Linked DNA regions of Caenorhabditis elegans. The protein of the gene in region 4 interacts with the protein of the main gene of each other region in a pairwise test. Each region holds a gene or a part of one and is shown on either strand. Other genes may lie near its edges.

What was found.
Region 1: the proteins of pop-1 (region 4) and unc-37 interact in binary tests that used the Caenorhabditis elegans proteins (3 or more experiments, as listed by UniProt).
Region 2: the proteins of pop-1 (region 4) and unc-130 interact in binary tests that used the Caenorhabditis elegans proteins (3 or more experiments, as listed by UniProt).
Region 3: the proteins of pop-1 (region 4) and tbx-38 interact in binary tests that used the Caenorhabditis elegans proteins (3 or more experiments, as listed by UniProt).

The regions. Positions count from the first base shown.
Region 1 is NC_003279.8:6,740,985-6,747,431, reverse strand, and holds unc-37 (Transcription factor unc-37), read left to right. Parts: upstream 1-2,102; 5' UTR 2,103-2,107; coding exon 2,108-2,188; intron 2,189-2,240; coding exon 2,241-2,384; intron 2,385-2,636; coding exon 2,637-3,147; intron 3,148-3,234; coding exon 3,235-3,430; intron 3,431-3,483; coding exon 3,484-4,231; intron 4,232-4,749; coding exon 4,750-4,908; 3' UTR 4,909-5,125; downstream 5,126-6,447. Other genes in the region: fnci-1 (FANCI helical domain-containing protein), read left to right, coding at 20-155, 1,038-1,100; W02D3.12 (Succinate dehydrogenase assembly factor 4, mitochondrial), read right to left, coding at 5,126-5,364, 5,413-5,443; cytb-5.2 (Cytochrome b5 heme-binding domain-containing protein), read right to left, coding at 5,668-6,000, 6,052-6,144; dhod-1 (Dihydroorotate dehydrogenase (quinone), mitochondrial), read right to left, coding at 6,421-6,447. UniProt on the Caenorhabditis elegans protein: Transcriptional corepressor that functions with the neural specificity gene unc-4 to govern motor neuron identity. In concert with unc-4, represses the expression of VB-specific genes such as ceh-12, thereby preventing the adoption of VB motor neuron fate.
Region 2 is NC_003280.10:11,279,306-11,285,019, forward strand, and holds unc-130 (Forkhead box protein unc-130), read left to right. Parts: upstream 1-2,660; 5' UTR 2,661-2,689; coding exon 2,690-3,027; intron 3,028-3,461; coding exon 3,462-3,788; intron 3,789-4,028; coding exon 4,029-4,365; 3' UTR 4,366-4,654; downstream 4,655-5,714. UniProt on the Caenorhabditis elegans protein: Probable transcription factor. Binds to DNA sequence motif 5'-CTGTTTCA-3'.
Region 3 is NC_003281.10:11,783,196-11,788,914, reverse strand, and holds tbx-38 (T-box protein 38), read left to right. Parts: upstream 1-2,853; 5' UTR 2,854-2,862; coding exon 2,863-3,068; intron 3,069-3,090; exon of another isoform or gene 3,091-3,170; intron 3,171-3,229; coding exon 3,230-3,548; intron 3,549-4,314; coding exon 4,315-4,701; 3' UTR 4,702-4,833; downstream 4,834-5,719. Other genes in the region: C24H11.1 (Serine/threonine-protein phosphatase), read right to left, coding at 1-183, 233-396, 468-677, 935-1,066, 1,114-1,167; srd-74 (Serpentine Receptor, class D (delta)), read right to left, coding at 4,841-5,029, 5,080-5,151, 5,223-5,501. UniProt on the Caenorhabditis elegans protein: Transcription factor. Required for mesodermal induction, acting redundantly with transcription factor tbx-37. Together with tbx-37, acts by inducing cell fates in the AB lineage, thereby playing a role in development of the anterior pharynx.
Region 4 is NC_003279.8:2,826,633-2,832,773, reverse strand, and holds the start of pop-1 (Protein pop-1), read left to right. Parts: upstream 1-2,462; 5' UTR 2,463-2,480; coding exon 2,481-2,655; intron 2,656-4,175; coding exon 4,176-4,294; intron 4,295-5,700; exon of another isoform or gene 5,701-5,891; intron 5,892-6,141. UniProt on the Caenorhabditis elegans protein: Transcription factor. Part of the Wnt signaling asymmetry pathway. Binds to the consensus sequence, 5'-(C/T)TTTG(A/T)(A/T)(G/C)-3'.

The DNA.
Region 1 (6,447 bases), 3.9 Mb from region 4:
AGTAACGAGATGCTTTCAGAGCCACCAAACGAGGCCGTAGGGACCCAAGTATGGAAGATGAAGAAATAGAAGAAACTGAAGAGAGTACAACATCTGCAAGAAGAAGCTCCGAAGAACCCGAAGAGCCAAGAGATCAAGAGAACACTGTTGGAGTGGTATGTGTACGAGATTTTATGAGTTGTGTAACCACTACTTGAGCTGATTAATTCTAAGGCCGAAAAATATTTTATTTGGACAAAAACTTTAACTCTAAAAAATAAAGTTTCAAAAAACAATTCGGCAATTAAAATTTCGAAAAAATTAAAGTAAGTCTCCATATCTTTCAAAAATCTTACAAATGTTAAAATCCAAAAATAGTTTACTGTTTCAACAATTCCTATGATGTTTTGAATAAAAAAGAAATCATTATTTTTCAATATAAATTGTGGATATTCGGTGCGAAACTGTTTCAATGCGCTGATTAATAGGACCACATTTGTGTCAAATGTTCATTTCAATTTGTGAAATGATCTAAAACAGCGGCATCCCAGACATAAAATGTATGTAGTTCCAAATGCCTCGACCACATACATTTTATTATTCTCATTCACCCATTAAACATCCCTTTTCCATCAACCGACATCAATTTGACCCAAGGTGACCCTTATATGGGAATTTTCTATTTCTGGAACATAAATCTGACTTTCATTGTATTCGTTGTCATAATGATGACATAAAGTGCAAACAAATGTGTACACCATCGTCTCACCACCATCTGTTACACACATCCAACCAATTATCGCCTTCTCGAATCTTTGAATGTTTATAACCACCCATCACATCCCTCCTTTTTCGATAAAATCTAACATTGTGGGAAATGAATGTGTCAATTACTGAAATGAAATGATTGATCAAAGGGCATAACCTTGTTAGTTGTTGATAGCTTCATTTACCTTAATCCTTATATAAATTTACGCTGCCCTTAAATCAAGTGTCGTGTTCAAGAATATATTTTTCACGAGACGACTTGCACTCTTAATCTAAAAATGTATTTTTAGGTGAAGCAGGAGGTTGATGACGAAGAAGAAAGTGTCTCCAGAGGCACGAGTCCAGTCTTCTGATCAGTTAGCAATGAAACGACAATTATATTTGATTTCCTAATGAGTTTAAACTCTCGAGTTTTTATATGTGTAATATATTCTTCAACACTCCGGAATGCTTCTAATTAGTTACAAATGACAAAATGGAGCTTCATTCATGTTTTGGTTTTTTTTTAAATTTTCATGACTGCTACAGTATACCGTCTTGTTGTTTAATCTAATAGAATCATTCAAGAGTTTTTATTCTTTCCATTTGAATCTCAATTTTCACTATTATCATTTGATTCTCATCTCATTTTCTTACCGATTTTCAATCTCAAATTATTTAAGAACATACCATGTCAATAAACTTATTATTTGTTAAACATGATTTTTTAAAAATATTTTCTTCAAGACAGGTTTATGTCTCTTTATTCAATATTTCAACCTTTTCCGTTTTTTTAGATAATTTTGTGAGTTTTTTATACTGGAATTGTGATTATGTACATGTAAAATATTTATAAATGCTTCTCTCTATAGTAAGTTGCAGCTTCATCGTGTTTGATTCGAAATATTAGTTAGAAATCCTCGGATCCTCGTGTTACTTGAATATCAAACTTATTGGATACATTCATCTTCTACACTCGGGCTCAAAAGAGCTCAAAACAAATGTGCTCTATCGACAACTCCTCCCCCCATTCGGTCACCCATTCAGCGTCGCATTCATCGCCGCGCGTTCGTCCTCCTCGACACCAATACCTCCTTCATTCTTCAACGTTAGTGGGGCTATATGACCAGTCGTTTTGCAATTAATGTATGATTCTCTCCGTCTACACCACTGGAAACCCATGTCCTCTTTCTTTGTTTCTTCGTCTCGTTGTCAACGTCTATTCAAACCACGTGCTATTTCTTGAGTTTTGTTGTCTTCTCCCAATCCATCACTAGTCTGTTCTTCCTTGCATTTTTTTGATCGAATTTTTAAAACTCCTCTCATAATTTTTATGTTAATAATTCACTATCCACTTGATTGTATTTAATTTTCAGTAAAAATGAAGGCATCGTATCTGGAAACCCTCGATCGAATCAAAGACGAGCATGCGGAAATGTCGAAGCATGTCAACCAGCAACGAGTAAGCTTAATTTTGTAAGAGAAATTTTAGTATATTGAAAACAATTTTGCAGTCGGATATCGAAAAGGTTGCGTTAGAGAAAGAAAATATGAATAGATCGTATATGACGTACGCTGAAGTATCAAATACTCTTCGTAGCGATCTTCGAAAAGCAGAAGAAATCAACAAACGCCTTCAGGAATTCATCATGCAATCGGTAAATTAACTCGTCAATAATGTTATTAAAAAATCGAACAAAAATATAGAAAAAGCTATTACAATTTTTTTGTTGAAATATTTGAACTAAATATTATGGAAACGTTATAATATCTATTGGATTGTACCTTGTTCAACTCAAACATGCTCCTCTTTCCATATATTCATTTATAAATAGAAGAAAAATTATTATGTAATATTTTTAATTCATAATAATCAATTTTAGGTAATATTATAAATGTATATTTTTCAGTTGGCTCCTCAACTATCTCAAGATAATCAAGCAAACTGCCTCGCCGCACTGGAAGCTTTCAAAACCGCATCACCACGTGAAAATGGAAATGGAGCACCAGCACTTCCACCAGGTTTTCCTCCCGGTGCAGCTGGAATGCTTGGAATGATGCCAAATATGCCATTCGGAATGAGCCCTGCAATGAGTCAACTATTCAATCAATTCGCATCACCACATGTCAACGGTGGAGATGGAGCCGGTGGAAGTTCTGGAGGTGCAAGTGAAGCGAAAAAGGCCAAGCTGGAAGATCCAGATGATGGAGAACTTGAGATTGATGTCACAAATGATGATCATCCAAGTACTGCATCAAATGGAGGCGCAGCTAATAAAAATGGAAGAGATAGCACAAATAGTGTTGCCTCATCGGGAGCATCTACACCGAGCATCGCATCAAATTCTAGAGCAAGACAACAACAGCAGCCACTCGCTGGGCTTCAAGGATTGGAGCAAATGAACTTTTTAGCTGGATTCAGTACGTGTTTACAATCTTTTGAAGTGTGCTAAGTGGAGGGAGCAAATACCAAAACTTCAGGCAATGCCAAAATATTTCAATTTTCAGATCCAAATCTTCTCCGACAAGCTAGTGCTGCTGGAGGATTCAACTTTTTGAATGATCCCCATGCACAGGCCCGTCTTGCAGCTGCCATCGGGCAAATCGGTAGCAGACCGGCCTATTCATTCAAAATTGTGGACGGTGGAGTTCCAACACCTACATCCTTCCCTCCAGATGCACAGAAAGGTCCCGGAATTCCGACGTAAGAAAATATAATAATTGGCTTTGATTCAAATTTGAAAAAAAAAATTGCAGAGGTCTCAAGAAGAAAATGGAATTAAATCACGGAGAAGTAGTTTGTGCGGCCACAATTTCCCGTGATAACAGTCGTGTTTATACTGGTGGAAAAGGATGTGTTAAGATCTGGGATGTCAAAGAATCAGATATTTCTGGCGCAACGGTTGTGAATCGGCCTCCAATTGCATCCTTGGATTGTCTCAAAGAGAACTATATTAGATCTTGTAAACTCTTTGAAGATGGAAATACACTTCTGATTGGAGGAGAAGCCAGTACTGTTGCTCTTTGGGATCTTACAACTGAAACAAAAACTTTGGACTTGGAAACTGATTCACAAGCATGCTACGCGTTGGCGATGTCACCAGATGAGAAATTATTGTTCGCATGTCTTGCTGATGGAAATATCCTCATTTATGATATCCATAATAAGGTGAAAGTTGGAACCCTACCTGGACATCAAGATGGAGCATCATGTCTCGATCTCTCAAAAGATGGTACAAAGCTCTGGTCAGGTGGTCTTGACAATTCTGTTAGATGCTGGGATCTTGCACAACGAAAGGAAGTTGCGAAGCATGATTTTGCGAGCCAAGTTTTCTCTCTTGGATGTTGTCCAAATGATGAATGGGTGGCTGTTGGTATGGAGAATAATTATGTCGAGGTTCTGTCAACAACTGGAAAAGAAAAGTATCAATTGACACAACACGAATCATGCGTCCTTTCGCTCAAATTTGCGCATTCCGGAAAGTTCTTCATTTCAACTGGAAAGGTATGTTTTGATTATACTTTGTCATTTACCGTATTTCTTCTATTAGTATGGCCTCCCTATTAGACTTGCACTCCCTATTAGTATTGCCCCTCGGAGACCTTCCAAAAATTAGTATGGCACTCCCTATTGCACTCTCTAATAGTCTTGCGTTTACTTTTTTTTTATTGCAAACCCATCTCGCTAATTTCAGGATTTCAACAATATTTTTTGCCTATTGTGCAACAATTTTTCACAAAATTTATACGAAATTGAAGTTTTTGAACTTATAGGTTACAATTAAAATCAAAATTTTTTGTATTTTTACATAAGATTCGAGCTTTTTCAGAAAAAAACTAGTAAGCTCAAAGTCAGAAAAATATTCTGAAAATTAGTATTGCACTCCCTAATATTCTTGCACTCCCTATTAGTCTTGCAAGCGGGAAGACCATCGAAAAATAGTATTGCAGCCATATTAATAGAAGAAATACGGTAATTGGCTCAATTTTTCTAATTGAAACCTCATAATCTCAATTTTTCAGGACAATGCTCTCAACGCCTGGCGTACTCCATACGGAGCATCACTCTTTCAACTAAAAGAGAACAGCTCCGTTCTCTCATGTGACATCTCATTCGACGACTCACTCATTGTCACTGGATCAGGGGAGAAGAAGGCAACTCTCTATGCAGTTGAATATTAATTTTTTTCCGCAGTGAATTTATGATCATGATACTCAAAACCCCTATTCTGTACGATAATCGTTTCATCTCTCTCATCTCTTCTAATTTCGTTTGTCAAATTTTCGTATTTGTGTACCCTATTACGATTAATGTCACTCTATGTTTAAAACATTTATTTATTTGCACTACAAAACAATGATGATCTGACTTGACTTTAACAGCAATTAATAAAACATTTCAAAAATCTGAAACTCTTCCCTTCCTCTCCCAATCACCATATCGAGTTGGCTCTGGTCCAGCTGGTCCACCAACTTCTCCAGTTGACTTATTCACACCTCCCGGATGTTTCTTGAGGTGAGGATCTTCATATTGTTGTTCGTCTGCTTTATCAAGTGCTCCTTTCGGTGTCTTCTCAGCCATCACCTTCTCCTTCGCACTTTGTTTTGGTTTTATATCTGCGAATCGGCGGGAAGAATCTGAATCGTCAAGAAATTAGAAAATTGTTTTTTGTGTAAAATCCATACTCAAAATTGGACGAAGAATCTGACGAAGCATTTGATCTGAATATTTTTTTTAATTGTTTCAATAGGACTAATCTTGCGACTAAAGTTACATCGATATCTCCAAGGCTCCACCCATTTTTCCTTCAGTAACATATGAAAATATTGACAACAAATCTTTATCACATATATAAAAGTCCATAGAAACAAATGTTCTTTGATGCATTTCAAGAAAGTGGGCGCATAAGATCAAAAGAATAGGATAAGAGCTAAGGTAATTTAATTGAACATGCACTTGTACACGGCATAAATGACAAGTCCCATTGTAGTTGGAATCAGGAAGTTGGTCCATGTTGGTGAAGTCATAATTTCGGTGAAATCATTGAGGAGAGATGATGATTTTTCGTTTTTCGAAGGTTTCGCAGCCGCTGTCTCGACTTTTGGAACGTCTGATTCTGGCAATTGACCAATGAGATATTCATTGGCCATTTCAATAGCATCTTTTGAGTGCCCAACATCGAGGAATCCAACTGTAGCATCTTTACCGGCTAATTGAGTGATGACTTCTTCACCTCCTGGATGCTCATTCAAGAACTTTGTCACATCGTAGACCTGTAAGGAATGATTTCGATATTTAAATTTAAAAAATGAAAAAAAAATTACCTTTCCGGAGATGACAATCCAACACGATTGATCAGCATCTTCCCAGTTGTGCTTTGAGACCTCATCGAGAGAAATGACACGTAGCTCCGACATAATTGATGAACCCTGAAACAAAAAATGGTCTCTAAGTCGTTGAAAATTATTCAAAAGTGATATATTTCGGTTGAAAACCAGAAACTTTAGTATAAATTGAAAAAAAAAACATAAGGAAATCAAATAATTTATGCAGAAAATACTAAGAATTACCCTACAATCTCATGAAAAGGCACATTGAACATCGGAAGAAAATAATTCAATTATAAAACAATTTTGAAACACCCATGAAAATGAAGTCAACCTGAAAAAATAACAAAAATCTTGGGAATATAATTATTTCGTTTTTTCTCTGTGATCAGC
Region 2 (5,714 bases), on a different chromosome or scaffold from region 4:
TTTGATCAGGGCTTGAATATTAGAAGCTAATTTTGTACTTTTTGTCTAAAATGGTTCTAATTATTTATTAAAATACCTTGGGTAGAATATCGAAGAGCCCAACTGGTCTCATGTCTCGCCGGAAAACGCGTCCTTTAGTTACTTGCGATCATATTTTTATGCTATTCGAGTTCCTTTTATGCTATTCGAGAGCTATTCGAGGAGCTACTCTTCTATTTTGGCTCTGATTATTTTTTGTCACTGTTAGAATTTCTATAGGCACGACTGACGACCGCTTTTTTCCCGGAAAACGCCCCACGTAAATTTGCACGCATACTTTTGGTTGGGAGCCAGTGGGGCGAGGATCCTCCCCTTCACGTAACACCTCAGTCTTCCGAGTAGGAACAAAATCGCAAAACTTTCGTGGTAAGACCACCGGCACCCCATAAACATTTATTAAGTAACACACACACAATTAATGCGTTCCTTCCCACTGCCAATCTTCTTATCAGAAAGATGAAATGACCGTCTCAACCGAGCCTGTGTGTCTATTTGTGTGTGGCCTTTGTAATAGTTACCACCTAGCTGATAACCGAGAAAGTTGGATTACCTCATGATTCCCTCATAAATTTGCCGACAGGTTCTTTAACGAAAACATATTTGTCTTTTGATTGTCTATTCTCTATTTACAAATTGATAATTGGGAGAATGCCACCCAGAATTAGTCGATTTAAAATTGAGTATGATCTACATAGATCTGAGTAGTGGTTGATCACAATGATATAATTATTATATATTAGTATCATTTTCTCTTTCTCTCTCTCTCTAAATTCACCCTGTCATCAGTGATGATTCTCAGTTTCGAGCGGCGGAGGGGCGAGCGTGTGGGCGGAGCCGCGTGTCCAATGAGCGTGGGGCGGGGCGGTCCAATTACCGGTGTTTTCTTTCGTTTATTCGCTTTTTGTGACTATGACACCAAAACGGAAGAATCAGTGGATCAGGCAAAAATATTATTATTAGAACTAATAGTTGGATTTAGGTTGGGTATCATTCTGTACCTATTTCACCTGATTTCTTGTGCTTCACTTGATCTTTGTCTTTATTATTATTGTTATTATTGTTGTTGTGCTCCTTGTTGTGCTCCTTATAAATCCCGTAAACTCTAAATCTAAATTGTTATCTAATACTTTTTATTGGTTACCAATAATATTACTTCTGCCAAAAGAGGCAAAACGCCGCGTTTCAAAAAATGAAAATTTTTATCTGTTGTTCATCACTGTCAAATTTATGATTATTAATATTTCTCACCATTCAAATTAAAACTTTTGCTTCAAAACTACATAAAACATTCAAAAACTTGAAACAAATTTTATTCGATTTTTGCAAGTTTTTTATTTAAAAAAAATTATACCGTATTTTCCCTAGCATTCATTTTGCTCATATCTCGGTTGTCCCAAGTTTTATCAAAAAAATTTTAACTGTCATAATGTAGAAAAATAATTTTTCCATAGTTTGTAAGTTGACAATTTTTTGATAGAACCAGAGAGAATCGAGATATAAGCTGTCAAAGAAGAGCAAGGTGCATGCAAGTCAAATAGGAAAATAGTGGGTTTTCCGGTTTACAAATTCGCATAGTTTTGAATTTTTTACAGAGTTTTCACCATTTTAGAGAATTGCTCACATTTTCTGAATTTTTTTTTCAAAAAATTAACTGGTACCTAAATTGAAATTTAAATATTTTGAGCAGAAGAGGTGAAACTCTTTTTTTAAATTTTTTAATTGCTTCTCATATTGATACTATTCTCTTTTTGTGCCAAAACTTCTAATCAATGCCCCGCTCCTTTCAAATCCTAAAGTTCCACTTAAAAACTGAAGAATCAAAAATCTTGAAACCTGTACTGTATGTACTCTTCCAAAAAACCACCTCCGTGCTTTTCATCATTTACAACTTGTCTCCCAGTCCTCGTCCGCAACTTGCTTTTGATATATTTTTTTCGACTTCTTCATTTCAACACATACCTACACACACAAAAAAAGTTTGCGCTAACACATGTCCGCCCGTCATAAATCTACAGTAATCTCGGAGCTTTCTTTCTCTCTCCTGATGCTCCCACACCACTCTGTCATTTTTCAATTGTTCTTCTCTTGGAAGCTCATCTCTCGTTTTCATTTGATCCTGCTAGAAGACACTTGATATGTTGTTTGTGTTAACTAAGATAACTGATATTGTTGAAAGTGATAGCTTTGCTTTGCTTTTCAACTTTTCGTGTTCCTCCTGCTCTTTTTTTTGACAGCTTACTAGTACCGAGTTCGGACCCCTGCATAGTACTACAAATATTATATTAATATGAGAATGATATACCCTTATTATCCCCCCACGTACTCTTGAGAATCATTAGTATGTTTCAATGTTTCGCCAACAATGGATTGGTATCATCTGCCCTTACCTACCGTACTCCCTCAAGTGCTCCCTCATCCATGATTACCGTACTCCCCTACTCTCCTCCCCCTTCTATCCGATTATAACATTTTTATTAATAATTATTATTGTCTGGTGTCTCGCGATGCCATCTCTATCTTACGATTTCGCTTTGAATTTTGATAACGCTATGAAAATATTAGCTTTTCTTATCTTTTTTATGTTTTACTTTTTTTCATAATTTTTTCATCAACTTACTTGCAGAAACTAACTAGGTAGACACCGGTAACAATGCTCTTTTCCATGGAATCAATTCTATCAAGTACCAAGCCAAAACTGGAGCCACCTCCGAAGCTAGAGCCGGAAGTGACAATCAATGAGCAAGTGGTTGATCTGCCGCGGAGCAACACACGGCTCTCCGAGCCATCAACTTCTGCGTCGGTTCTTGAACATGATTTGAAGTTTGGGGAGTCCCGAAAAAGAAGTCGGTCTCTTGGAGACGAGCCCACGGAAGATGAAGACGGCGTTCCAGTTCGGAAGGCAAACAAAAGAAATCATTCAACTTCAAGTGCTGCAGATAGCTCATCTGATGATGCGAAGGATGATGACGACGATGATGATTCTACATCGTAAGTTGGGAACTTGGGAAAAACTTAGGAATCTTAGAAGAAATTCGATTTTTCTCGACCTCGACCTTTTAGGTCCTTTTATACAAAAAGTTTGTATGCTCAATTTTTGTGAAACTTTGATCTCCGATATTTTTAAGTCTATTAGACATTGTTCAACTACCGTATTTTCCCTGTATGACTTGCATTCTCTTTACTCTAACTTGACGGTTTATATCTCGGTTGTCCTAAATCTTACCAAAAAAGTTTAACTGTAAAAATGTAGAGATATATTTACATGCATTTTGTCAGTTGACAATTTTTGATGAGACCAATAAAAACCTAGATATTGGCTGTCAAAGTAGAGAAATAGGTAGAGCAATATACCTATAATATGTACAGTGATATGTACAATAATATGTACTGTGTAAAACAACTGTAACTCTATAATTTTGCAGTCGAAAATCAATGTCTGGTCACCGAAAGAGCAGTCACGCAAAGCCACCGTACTCCTACATTGCACTCATCGCGATGTCAATTCTCAATTCACCGGAGAAGAAACTGACACTTTCGGAAATTTGCGAGTTCATAATCAATAAGTTCGAGTATTACAAGGAGAAGTTCCCCGCCTGGCAGAACTCGATTCGTCACAACCTAAGCCTCAACGACTGTTTTGTGAAGGTGGCTCGGGGGCCTGGGAATCCGGGAAAAGGAAACTATTGGGCGCTGGATCCGAACTGTGAGGATATGTTCGACAATGGATCGTTTCTGCGCAGAAGGAAGAGGTAAGGGGAGCACAGGAGAAAGTATTACAACCTGACGGGGAGTAGTAGCCGGCGGCGGGGTGAGCACACATACGAGATGTGAAGAGAGGGAAAAGACAGTTGTTTCGATAATTTGTCACCAATTTGTTGTCATTAATCGCACCCTCGAGGGTAGTGGAGAAGCCTGGGAAAAGAAAACTTTCGGGGTTAACAAGGGAATTAGTGAGATAAATTTTCAATTCAAACACTTAATAATTTCAGATACAAGAAAAACAGTGACACATATCACGAAATGATGTCCCATCATCCGATGCCATTCCCTCCATTCCTCCCGCAAGGAATGCCCTTTCCTCCAAGAATGATGCACCCGATGGCTAACATTCCCATGCTGGGACATCCAATGAATCCAAGAGCAGTTCCAAACATGCCAGCGTTCTTCATTCCACAAAATATTGATAGCCAGAAGCTCTTGTCAATGATGGCTTCGAGAATAATGCCAATGGATGCTCCAGTCAGCTCTGGCCAGAAGAGAACTTCATCGAGCTCCTCACCAAATGAGAATGGATCTTCGGCAGTTTCAGATAAACTGAGCGCTTAGAAGAACACTCAATTTCCTTGTTTAATTTTTAACAATTGTTTCCTATTTGCTTAACCTTTTCTAGTCTCTTGTTCCTTTTCCGTTCCCCTTCAATTCCTTTCAGCATTCTTCATTTCCCCTGATCTCAATCGTGCAATCAATAATCAATTTTTTGTTAATCCTCCTGCACGTGGTACCACAACTTCATTTCTTCAACTGATCTTCCCTTTTCTTTTTTTTCTTTGTTTCATTATCTGTGAAAGAGCTTATGTCGTAAATAATTCGAAAATATATATGTCCATCGTCAGCATTTTTGAAGTTAAAATCACATTAATCAATTGAGCAAACAGTAAGATGAAAGGAGACCGCAGAAGCTGCTGAGCCGATTAAAAGACTGAAATTGATAAGGGAGGGAAGTGACAAGACTGCTGCAGAGTTACTAGTCTGCAAAATGTCATGAATCCAACAAAAAATCAGGGTTCAGAAGACTAGGTTTTTAGTAGAAAACATACCGAATTTTTCAATTAGTCTTGCACCAAATTTGCTCTACTTTGGCAGCTCATATCTCGGTTGTCTTCAATTTTAACAAAACATTTTCAACTGTAAAATCATAGAAACATATATGAAAAATATTTCTACTGTTGAAATTTTCGTGATAAAACCAAAAGCAGCCGAGATAAGAGATCTGAAAGTAGAGCAGAAGGGGTGCAGTACTAATAGGAAAAGTACCGTAACTTACCTTTTCCTAACTTTTCTAAATTAGATGGATATATAACTGGACGCGAATATTAGCCACAGACAGAGTTCCTCAGCCTCCAAGAGTCCTCATTTTTCCATATAACCTGGCTCCTTTGGACTAGATAGAATTTCTAAAAAGACGACCTATGCCTACTTTTCTGTGAATAAAAACCATTAAAACCATAATTTAAATCAACATAAAGCTACTTGTTGTTTGGGCAAATAATGATACTAACAATTAAATGAACATTTTGAAAACTATGCTAAGATTATTCAAATGTTATCCTAATTACCAAAACCCTAGTTTAACTCGGTGACTTTTTGAACTCCCGCCAAACCATATAATTATCTCAAGCATGTCGTCTTCATTTCTATCCTAATTAGATACCCATACATAGTGTATATATGTATATTCAAACTATACAAAACGGATATTGCTTATCAAATTCATTCATCAGTTTGCCACGTCAAATCAAATTATCGAGAAGTGTGTGTGGGGGTGCAGTTTCACCTTATGCCACCTCATGTTTCGTTTGACGGCACATGGTGACAGGCCCGATGAGATTTTGAACCGTTTAATTGATACTAATCGGTATCTTAGGTTGTATTAATGTAATTACAAATACCGTATT
Region 3 (5,719 bases), on a different chromosome or scaffold from region 4:
GCACGAATATCATCGAGAGACTTCAAATGTGGAGAAATCCCTCCGTGCATGCAGAGAATACGCTTCGAGACGATTGCACACAGGGGCATATACGAGAAGACTTGATTGAAGTGATTGTAAACCGATTCATACACTTCTTCCCTTTGGAAACGCTTCTTGAGCTCCGCGTGGAAGCCGTAGTTTCTGTTACCAATAAGATTATTTTGTGTCAGATCTACTAACATGTGCTTACTTGTTGATGGCCTTCAACTCATGATTTCCTCTCAACAAATGCATCTTTCTGGGCATTGCCAATTTGAGTGAGAAGAGAAGCATAATGACTTCCAATGAGTGACCTCCACGATCCACGTAGTCCCCGAGGAAGAGGTATTGAGTTTTTGTCGCTGCTCCGCAGGCCTGAAAGGGAACATATAGAACAGCTTAGCACACATGCAGTTGGTATGGTAGGCAGGCAGGTAAGGACTTACATTGAAAATACGAAGCAAGTCGTTGTACTGCCCGTGGGTATCTCCACAAATGTTGATCGGAGCTTGAAGTTCCAAAAGAGCATTTGCAGCCGGTTTTGGAGGGCTCATAGATGTGGTTGCAGATGCTGAAGCAGATGGTGCAGTTTTCTTGTTCGGTGGAGATGTGTAGTACTTGAAGACACGTGTCAACAGCACATGGATCTCTTTTTCCTGAAAAAAAGACATTAGGAACGTAGGTAGGCATGGAGGCAAATAGACAGGCAGGGGCGTGGGTAGGTAGGCAGGCAACCGCTTAGAAACGCAGGGATGGTGCAGGTAGAGAATAGGTAGGAATGCAGTGGTTAAACATTTAGGCAGGTATGAGGCAGGCAGGTAAATATGCAGGGATGATTCAGATAGGCAATGGGAAGGCATGTAGGCAGGCACAGGTGAAGCAGGCAGGCCGGTATAGAGTCTCCTTTACTTACATCAAACATAATGGCTTTCGAGAATACAGGCTTCAGAAGTTTCTTGATCATATCGGTCAACTTGAATCCCTTCTCATCGGCCTCCGTGATATGCCAATTGTTGGCTTCCGAACCCGGTTCAACGGAAGTTTTCTGAAAAGGTAGAGGCATTTTAAAGAATCATCTGAATTTCCACTTACCTTTGGAGCATCTGTTGCAGCAGGATTTGAAGAATTCGAAGAATTTGAACTCATTTCGTTTTCAATTCAAATTGATCCCTTTGAAGTGTGAATTATCAATTAATGAATTTATTTTCTTTCTATTGATTTATTGATTTTGATGATTTATTGATTGACCATTGCGATAACAATTGTTTTTATTTTTGACGCGAACATTTTTAAATTGTTTTAAACTTGCGTAACTAAATTGTTATTAAAGTTGTAAACTATCCAAAAATTGTAAATTTTATGTTCTACATTTTGATAGTTGACAACTTTTTTATAGCGTTTTTTTTTTTTTTTTGTTTTTGACGCGAAAAATTTCTTTTTTTTTTTGTAAATTTTTTTCAATAATTTTTTATTATAATTTTCGTGATTAAATTGTTATCAAAGCTATCAAAAAGTTTGTAAATCGTTTTCCAACTATTCCTAAATTCCTAATCGATATTGTTTTTTTCTTTAATTTTCCAGATGTCCTCCAAGTTTCCCACAATATCGTGTGTCTTTCGTTTTCCAAACCACGTGGCGTACCATACATGGCAGAGAGTTGTGTTACGGCTCAAAGACATGTGCCGCTTATACTTTGCTATAAAGTATTTTGCCAAGTGTTTCGAACCGTTTTTGAACCGTTATTATTACTTGAAAAATCTCATATTTGCAGTAAAAATTACTGGAAGAAATGTACATTTAATAGTAACGTTTAAGTATGAAGCTATTGAAAAATGTATGAAAAACAAAATATAAAATTATTTTTATAATCAATTTCTTGTGTTTCTAACCAATTTCAAAATGCACCAGCCCTCCCGCTGAGCCCGACACATCTTCTCCTTCCGAGCCAATTCAAAACTGCGCACCGCTATCACTAGAGTGTGAGGTGTCAAGGTGTGGGTGGAGGTATACTTTTGAAGTGTGAACTACACATTCTAGATTGCTGAAGACCATAGAGATGCTCAGTTGGAGGAAGAGGTGTTCAAGAATCAGACACCAACATTGGCTCGCAGTTTAATGAGTGTTCCGATTTTACAGTTATTTTGGATATACTTCGCGTGTGATCCTTCTAGGTCATTATTATATTGGTGTGAATTCAAAAAGCCTAAGCCTATGCTTTAGCCTAAACCTGAGCCTGAGCTGAGGTCTAAGCTTAAGCCTGAGCCTAAGCCTAAGCCTTAGCTTGAGCCTAAGCCTAATAAGGGATGGGCGGCGAACAGGCTTTCTTGGTGAACGGCGAATTCGGCGACTTTGCCTATGCAGTTTTTCCAGTTTTCCAGGTTTTCTCTGAAGGTTTTTTCTTGTTCAAAGGTGTAAGCCTAAGCCTAATTGTAAGCCTAAGCCCAAGCAGAAGCCTGACTGAGCCTAAACCTAAGCCTAGGCATAACTCTAAGCCTAAGCCTGAGCATAAGCCTATGTCTATGTCTAAGCCTAAACCTAAACCTAAAGACTAAGCCTAAGACTAAACCTAAAGACTAAGCCTAAGCCTGCACCCAAGGCCGCCGTGCGCTACATCTCCCATGGCCACACGCTCATATGTGCCAAGTTGTGCTCCACTTGCCACGTGTCCACCCCTACGTGTGGCCCAGCCCCTTCCGGCTCCGCCCACTTACCGGCTCAGTTTTACAGAATTAGTGAGAGTGGTTAGCACTTTTATTACAATTAGATTTTTGTTGCTCTACTTCCGGTCTCACTTTTTTGTGCTTCTGTTACTCCTATAACTCCCCCTGTTACAGCATTACCATGTACTCGTGCACCTCCCCATCCGGAATTAAAGTCTCCTTGAGCACACCAGAAATTTGGGAAGAGTTCTACCCGAAAACCGAAATGATTGTGACGAGAAACCGTGGAAGGGTGATTTTTCCGCATTTGGACTATATCATCAAGGGATTGGATCCAGGCAGTCTCTACTCGATTTATATTCATTTGGAACGTGTTGACGGGATTAAGTGAGTTGGGTTAAAAGATAGAAAAAAATTTTCAACTGGTAAATTGTAGAAAATTAAATTTGCTACAATTTCTAAATTGACAACTTTTTGATAGCTGGTATACTTTCAGAGTTATAACCTATAGGACGATTCCAATTTCAAAAACTTGAACTCATTTCCAGATACAAATTCGACGCAGGAGAATGGAAAGAATTCGCCAAAGGAGATCCGATTCTTCCAATCCAATACAAGGAGCATCCGCGTGGCAAGCGTACTGGAGCAGAATGGATGAGTGAGCCCGTCTCGTTTGCTCACATCAAAATCACGAATAACCCGGAAATCAAGGATCAGAAGGTCATTTTAGTGCAGAGTATGCATAAGCACATTCCAGTGGTCACTGTTAAACAGGTCCGACATTATAAGACAGGGTATCAAGAGGATTTTAGTGGGGAGCAGTTCCGGTTGGAGGCTACTGAATTTATGGTGGTCACTGCTTATCAGGTTAGTTATTTGAAAGGGTGTGGGAAATTAAATTTGCAACAATTTGTTGAAAAAAGTTGAAAACATTTTAATCGCGTCACTATCAACGGAGATGAAGTAGTTTAAAGTTGGAGAGCATATTTTCAAGTTTCCAAAACTGTAAATTTCGAAGCGCTATTCCAACTTTTCAAATCAAAAATAAATGTAGACATATAGAAAGCATCTAATTCAAAATTAAAAAAATACTGAAAAACTTGCCGAAAGTTGCCATTTGCTGAAGCTTAAGCTTAGGCTTAGGATTAGGCTCAGGCTTAGGCTTAGACTTAGGCTTAGGCTTACGCCATTATACAGGAAAAAACCTTCAGAAAAAACCTGGAAAACTTAAAAAACTGCATAGACAAATTTGCCGAATTCGTCGTTCGCCAAGAAAGCATGTTCGCTGCCCATCACTGATTAGCCCTAGGCTTGGGCTTGGGCTTGGGCTTAGGCTTAGGCTTAGGCTTAGGCTTAGGCTTAGGCTTAGGCTTAGGCTTAGTCTTAGGCTTAAGCTTAGGCCGCAAATCGACTTTTTCAAAATATTTGTCGAGCACGTCAAATTCGGTAAATTTATTCGGCATGGCAATTTCGGAAAAAGCATTAAGTTTTCATTAAGTGCCGGATTGAAACTACGCTATTAAAATTTTGTCAACTAAAAAATAAAAAAATGTAGCAAATTCAATTACCCACAACTAGAAATTTTTCACCAACTACATACATATATTCTCTACAAAATTGTACCCTTTTCCAGAACGAAATCCTCAAAAACCTCAAGGTTCATCACAATAAATTTGCATCCGGATTTCGTTCGAATGGCAAGAGACGGCTTTCTTCAGACTCTGAAAATTCTGAAAACTCTCCGCCCAAACGCAGCAAATTGGTAACCCCACCGACAATCTCACCGCAAATAGATCTCCCACAGCAAACCCCGTATTATTTCAACCAGAATTTTGTGGCTCCGCAGAACTACCAGCCACAGTTTGCAAGTGCTCAGAATTACAATTTCGAAGTTCAAAATAATGCTCAATTAGCTTGGAATATGTATTATCAAAAACAATACGAGTTTTGGTGGCAACAGCAGCAAATGATGATGCCAGGACAACCACAAGAGCTCAAAAATGAATTCCAAAGTTTGTGAATTTTTTGTAATATTTTTATACCCCCTACCTATTGCCTTTCTCCCCCTTTGAATATTGTACTGCACTGATCTCCTGGATTACTATTTATGTGTCTCATAAATAACAATTGAAATAAACTTTATTAATATTTAAAAAAAATCAAATAGTCCTCGCGGAAGACTGCGCCACGGACAACGTCACCCCAATCGAGACACTTCTCTGCCGCCGCGTCACAAAACTCCTATATGGTGCAACGTAGTAGATCGTTAGAATCGGATCGATGAGGCACGGGATGACGCAGGTTGGAAACGGCACGAACTCGGCAATCTCGAACTCGATGTGGATTCGCTGGAAATTTTTCAATGGGCTAGGCGTGCCTGCCTGCCTGCCTATCTCACCTGCGCCACAAGGAAGTATGCAACATTGGGAAGAAGGCATACCATCGGGAACATTGCCTGCATTGTGAGTGCCTGGAAAAATTGGAAAGTTGCCTGCTTGTTTGCCTACCTACTAGGCAGGCAAGCCTACTCCTACCACTCACCCTCACCAAATCCAACGACGATTTCTTGGTTCGTTCACTCAAATGTGTCTGAACTTCGTTGATTTGATTGAAGATCTGATGTCTCCAGTACAGAATGAAAACGGGCATCATGTAGGGAATTCCCATGAGAATTGTGGTATTGATAAGATAAACCAGCCGAGTTGTCGACTTGAAGCCTCCATATTCGCCGAAAGTATCTAATAGGTGATAGTTGGGATACGATCTTTCCGTGTTCAGGGTTACTGTAGGGAAGTCGTATGGAGGAATTAAAATTGCTACCTGAAAATTTTGGAATTTATTTAGAAAGTGGTCCTAGTATTAGGCTTAGACCTAGGCTCAGGCTCAGGCTCAGGCTGAGGCTCAGGCTTAGGGTTAGTCTTAGGTTTAGGTTTAGGCTTAGACCTAGGCTCAGGCTTAGGCTCGGGCTCAGGCTTAGGGTTAGGTTTTTTGGGCTTAAGCTTTGGCTTACGCGTAGGCTTAGGCCTAGTCTTGATGAA
Region 4 (6,141 bases):
AAAAATTTTCATTGATTTTTTCTAGTTGTTTTTCCTCTGTTAAAAATTATTTACGGTAACATAAAATTCGGAGAATGCGTATTGCGCAACATATTTGACGCGCAAAATATCTCGTAGCGAAAACTACAGTAATTCTTTAAATGACTACTGTAGGTCGATTAACGGAAATTATTTATCATTCGGCAATGACAAAAAACTAAATAAAGTAAATGGGAAAAAAATCGAGATCGCGTAAATCGACCTACAATAGTCATTCAAAGAATTACTGTAGTTTTCGCTACAAGATATTTTGCGCGTTAAATATGTTGCGAAATACGCGTTATTAGACTTTCGTGATCCCGTAATAAAAAAATTGAATTTGCTTCGCAGTGTTCCCGAAATACAGCCAAATTTATTTTTTTCAAGCTTTTTCGTTGCATTTTCTCCAATTTTAGTCTCCGTTTTCCCAACATCCTCGTTTTTACACTTGTCCAGGTAATTTTCTCTAATTTCTGGGAAAATTCCGCAGAAAAAACGGAAATCTAGAAAAATTCGAGATTTCCCAGCAGTTTATTTTGATTTTCTTCAATTTTTCACTCAATTTCACAAAGAACTATTCGAAATCGAAAAAAAAATCGATTTTATTCAGAAATTTATTAAAAAATTTTAAAAAAATACCGTACCCTTCAAGCAACGTGTACTCCTCTCGGAAAATTCGAATTAATTATTAATTTTTATTGATTTTCAACCAATTTCGCTACCAAAAAGGGTGTGTTCCCTCTAATTTAGGATAGTCTTTGCCATTTGTCTCCTTCCGTTTTCTCTTTTATCTGACTGGGGTCACATTCACAGTGAAAGGAGAATTAGAAAAAAGAAAAAAAGATGAAAACACGCTGTGTCTCTATCTCTCCGCCAATTCTCACGGTTTTCCCGGTGAGTTACAACGAAGAAAATGAACACTTCGATAAAAAATATATATTGACGCCCCGGGTTACCGATTACCGATGCCCACAAAAATCACTTCTTATCAATTTTTAAATGGTTTTTTTCAGGACAATCTGATTTTTATTTTTTCTCACTCAACCTCCACTCTCTTCAAGTTCCATGCTCTCTTTTAACCTCTTCTACAGCTATTATTGTCGGCCACCTGCGCACACACACAGGGCCTTCTCACACACCATTTAGCATGGGCGGCCCCTTGATGAGCGATGAAAGCGAGAGACGCAGAGAAATTGGTGTAGCGGGGGGCCATGGTGCACTACCGACAGCGCGCGCATACACCACCACCAACCGCCTCTTGTCTTCTTCCCCCCTTCTTCTCACGTCCCCCGGTCCGTCATTTATTTGAATTTTATGGATCCTTTTCGCCTCGTTTTCCTCGTTCCACTATCCTCCCTCCTACCTCCTGCTGGGTTCTACGTTTATTTGCATTTTATAATTGGAGGAACTTCTTCATTCGAACATTTTTCGCTTTTTTTTCCCGTCATTCTTTTTGAATTTTGTAGAGCGAGTAGCGGCCTAGTTTTCGGCTAGGCCATCTGTTGCCAATGACAGATGTGTTTTGTTCACCGTATCGATTCCTGCTCTTTAATTTAAAATTCCCGCGTTTCGGATTTATAAGCAAAAAAGTAATTTTCTACGTCAAAAATAGGTAATTTTAAGGTATTTAAAGTCTGATCGTGGTGTCACCCATGCCAAAAAACATGGCATGCGCCTTTAAAGACTACGGTATATTTACAAAAATGTCGAAAAATGCGAATTTTAAACAAATTTAAAGATTTTTGATGATTTTCTCCTTTTTGTTCGGAATTCCCTTGTTTAAAATTTATGATTTTATTTTTAAAAACTCAAATTACAAATTAATAAGCCGAAAAATATTGTTATTCGCGGTGGTACCCACATTGAAATACATGGCACGCGCCTTTAAAGGTTACGGTAGACAAAAATACTTGAAAATTTAATTTTGAACAAATTTCGAAGTTTTCGATCAATTTCTAGATATTTCACATCGAAATTTCCTCGTTTCAAATTATTTTTTCAACGAAACAGCTCAAATTCGACATTTTTAAGCAAAGAAAAGTAATTTTGTTCGAAATTCGTGTCGAGACCCACACCAAAATAAGCGGCATGCGCCTTTAAAAGTTACGGTGGACAAAAGTATTTTTTAAATTAAAATTAAAACAAATTTCACCGTTTTTGCTGATTTTTCTTGAGTTTTTCATCTAAAATTTCGATTTTGTCGTCAAAATTTATCTCTAATTCAATAAAAATTCAACATTTTCCAATTTTAGAAGTCTAAACCTCCACTTTCTCCCCAAAATCCTATCGAATTCAAATTTCCCGCGTCTTTCCCCTCTCCATGGCCTAACTTCCGCGGACCTAGTCCCCCTTTTTTCTTGTTTTAAATGGTTCCGTGCTTCTTTTCCCTCCATTTTTCCGTCAATTTCCCATTAAAATCGTTAAAAAATGCTCTAAATTTCCAGATATAAAAATACACAAAAATGATGGCCGACGAAGAGCTCGGCGATGAGGTGAAGGTGTTCCGTCGGGATGAGGATGCTGACGATGATCCAATGATTAGTGGTGAAACGTCAGAACAACAGTTAGCCGATGATAAAAAAGAAGCTGTAATGGAAGCAGAATTAGACGGTGCCGGTCGAAATCCATCGATTGATGGTGAGTTTTCCAATAAATTTGATCGAAAGGGGAAGGTGGCCAGCTATCACACAAAATTTTATGGACCACCTCAATTGCCTTTCGACTTTATTACACAAAAAAAATATTTGAAAATTCTTCTAAATTTCTAAATTTCTGCAGGAAAAAGGGACATTAAATATTAAAAAAATACATATAAATTTAAATTTAAATAATTTAAATAAAAACTTTAAATGCTAAGACTGATCCCAAAAAAAGAGAAAAAAATCATTAAATTTGAAAAAAAAACCTTATTTAAATTCCCGCATTTTTTGTCTAAACTCCGCCCATAGAACCGTGCCGCACTTTGTTTTTTTTTCAAATTCAGCGTAAATCCATATTTTGGGGGTTTTTTTTCAGTTTTTAAATGGAGAAAAAGGTTTTAAAAATCGCCGAAAAATTCATTAAAAGCTAGAAAAACAACCCAAAAATTGGACTTTACGTTGAAATTAAAAAGTGCAAAAGTGCGGCACGGTTTTATGGGCGGAGTTCAAAATCGAGACAAAAGCGCGGGAATTTAAATTAATTAAAAATCGCTAAAATATTTTTTTTTGACAAATTTGAGTATTTTCAGTGTTATTTTGAATTTCAACCAATTTTAAAGCGATTTTTCGCCATTTTTTATATTTTAAAGTATTTCTAACACTTTATAAATGAAATTTACTCATTTTTAACCAATTTTTTTTCCGGTTTTCACTATTTTCTATTAAAAAAATCCATGCTAATTTCAAAACACCCCTAAGAATTGACCTGATGGTCCCGGGCCTTACGCAATGACATAATGACGTAAAAGGATGTTACGCAACGGTGTTCGAACACCATCTGCGTCTCTCCGAATCCCATACTATCTCGGTCCGTTATCTTGTGTGCTAATCCGTCGTGAGTACTTGAACAAGTTGGTCCGTCTGTGTGTGCTCAATAGACTGTATAGGGGTGCGAAAGGATTAAGAATTGGATAATATTCAAAATTGATCTGAGAAATTTGAACTTGGCGCCAAAAATTGACCTTTTTTGAGATCTGTGAATGGAAAAATCTAAAAAATTATGTATTTCAGGCCTTTAGAGGTGCTAGAAATTCCTTTTAAAATTTTACGAAAAATCGCTTTAAAATCGAATTTTCAATTGAAAAATCTAAAAAATGAGAGGTTTTGAACTCGGATATCACTATAAAAGTTGAATTTTAAAATATTTTTAACTGAAAATTGTGAAAATTTGCGAAAAATCGCTTTCAAAAATCGAAATTTTGAAGGAAAAATGAGATAATTAACCCTATAAAATTGAGTTTTGAAGAATTTTAACTAAAAATTGTGAAAATTACCGAAAAATCTCTTTAAAATCGGAGTTTTCATGAAAAAATCTGGAAAAATGAAATCTTTAACCCTATAAAATTGGATTTTAAAGAATTTTGACTAAAAATTGTGAAATTTGCCAAAAAATCGGTTGAAAATCAAAAATTTGGCTCTTTTTTAACCATTCTAACCGAATAATTATCAAATTTTCAGTGTTAAAAAGTGCATTTCCAAAAGTCGAACCAATGTCACCATCGTTTCCCGGTTTAATGTCACACTTCAGTCCTGGATACTCGGCAGCTGCTTTACCCATGTTTATGCCTCTATTTATGGTGATTTTTTACTTGGAAAATTGAAAAAATTTGAATTAAAACACATAAAAATTGGCGAAAATCGACAAAAATCGACTTAAAATTGTATTTTAGAGTTAACAAGTTAAATACTTCTGAACGAAAAATTACCGAAATTGGCAAAAAATCGGCTTTAATTGGAAGTTTTCACTGAAAAATCTGAAAACAAAGGTGAATATTAGGCCTCGAATATGTTATAAATACCTTATAAAGTTGAAATTTCAAGATTTCCCCCAAAAATCGACGAAAAATCGCTTTAAAATCCTTTTTATGACAATTCCCCCTATTTTATTAGAAAAATTATGTAGTCTAGGCATTAGAAATACTTTTAAAAGTTGCAATTTCAATATTTTGCCCAGAAATTGCCTAAGAAATGGGAAAAATTATGTATTTTGAATTTTTAAAGGGTTCGAGAGCCTCTATATTTTTGGAATTTAAGAATTTACACCAAAAATTATTTAAAAAAAGCGAAAAAACACCCTAAAATCGAAAGCTTTATTGAAAAATATGGAAAATTGTGTATTTTTGAGCTTATTCTTCAATTTGAATCAAAAATCGTCGAAATTTGCAAAAAATTGCTTTAAAATCCTATTAAAAATCATTTTTCCAACAATTTCTTCCCCAAAAAAGCAGAAATTCCAAAAAAAAAAAATTCAAATTTTTACCCAATTTCAAGAATTTTTAGGGCTTTTCTCCATTTTTGTAGAAAAAAAACCGTATTAATTTTTTATTCTTCCTACAATTTTCTTCCCCAAAAAGCAGAAATAATACAAAATTTCCACTAAAAAACTGAATTTATTGTCTTCCAAATCCAAAAATTCTTGGCTTTCCGCCATGGGGTTCTGGCCTTCCTCATTGAATTTTTCGCGCTCCATTGACAATCGCCCGCCGGACTGGGATAGTCGTGTACTCCACACGGACAAGTGCATTTAGTTTTACAACTAAAATCGAGCCGCGACGCGACACGCAACGCGCCGTAAATCTACTGAGCCAAAATGACCTAGTTCGGCAAAAACTCTTCCATTTCATTTTATGAGGGAAGCCAAAAATTCGTGAGAAATTCTACAAAATTTTCACCGAAAAACTGAATCTATTATCTTCTGAATCCAAAAACTCGTTGCATTTCCTCGAAAACAGTTTTTTCTTCTTTTTTGTTGGAGAAGCCTCATTAACTCCCAAAAAATTGCGTGTTTTTTGGCAATTTGTTTTTCTCGAAAAACTATTGGCGAAAAAACACCAAAAATTTCTTTTGAATTGTTGAACATCATGTCAAGAGCCGAAATTATTTCCTTTTGCGTCACTTTGGGGGGTCTCGATGGTGGTGGTAATTATGGTTGCTGGTACCCGAGACACGGATACAATAGACAATTAGACACCTCTGGGCCCCCCCCCCCCCCACACACACATGTTTGGACACCTTTTTTCTACAGACAAAAAGACGCGGAAAACAATAGGTTCAAAAGGTGTGTGTGTGTTCGTATTCATTCATTACAAAATGATGATGACCCCACACCAGAACAAGTGTGAGAGAGCTCTAATTGCTTCCGGAACATGATTGGTGCCACTTCCTGTAGAGAATTGACACTTGTTTTTTGAATTTGTTGAGAGCTAGCGGGGATCTGAATGATTACCGTACCTACCTACTAGGCCTATCTTCTCGGGGTACTGTACACAGACACGTGGTGTCAAAGTGTCTCATTTCGACTTGATCTACGTAGATCTACAAAATAGGCGGGAGAAGAGACGCAGAGCTCTCAACTGATTTCGCATGGTTAAGAACCTGTTGACGTCACATATTTTTGGGTGAAAAATTCCCGCATTTTTTGTAG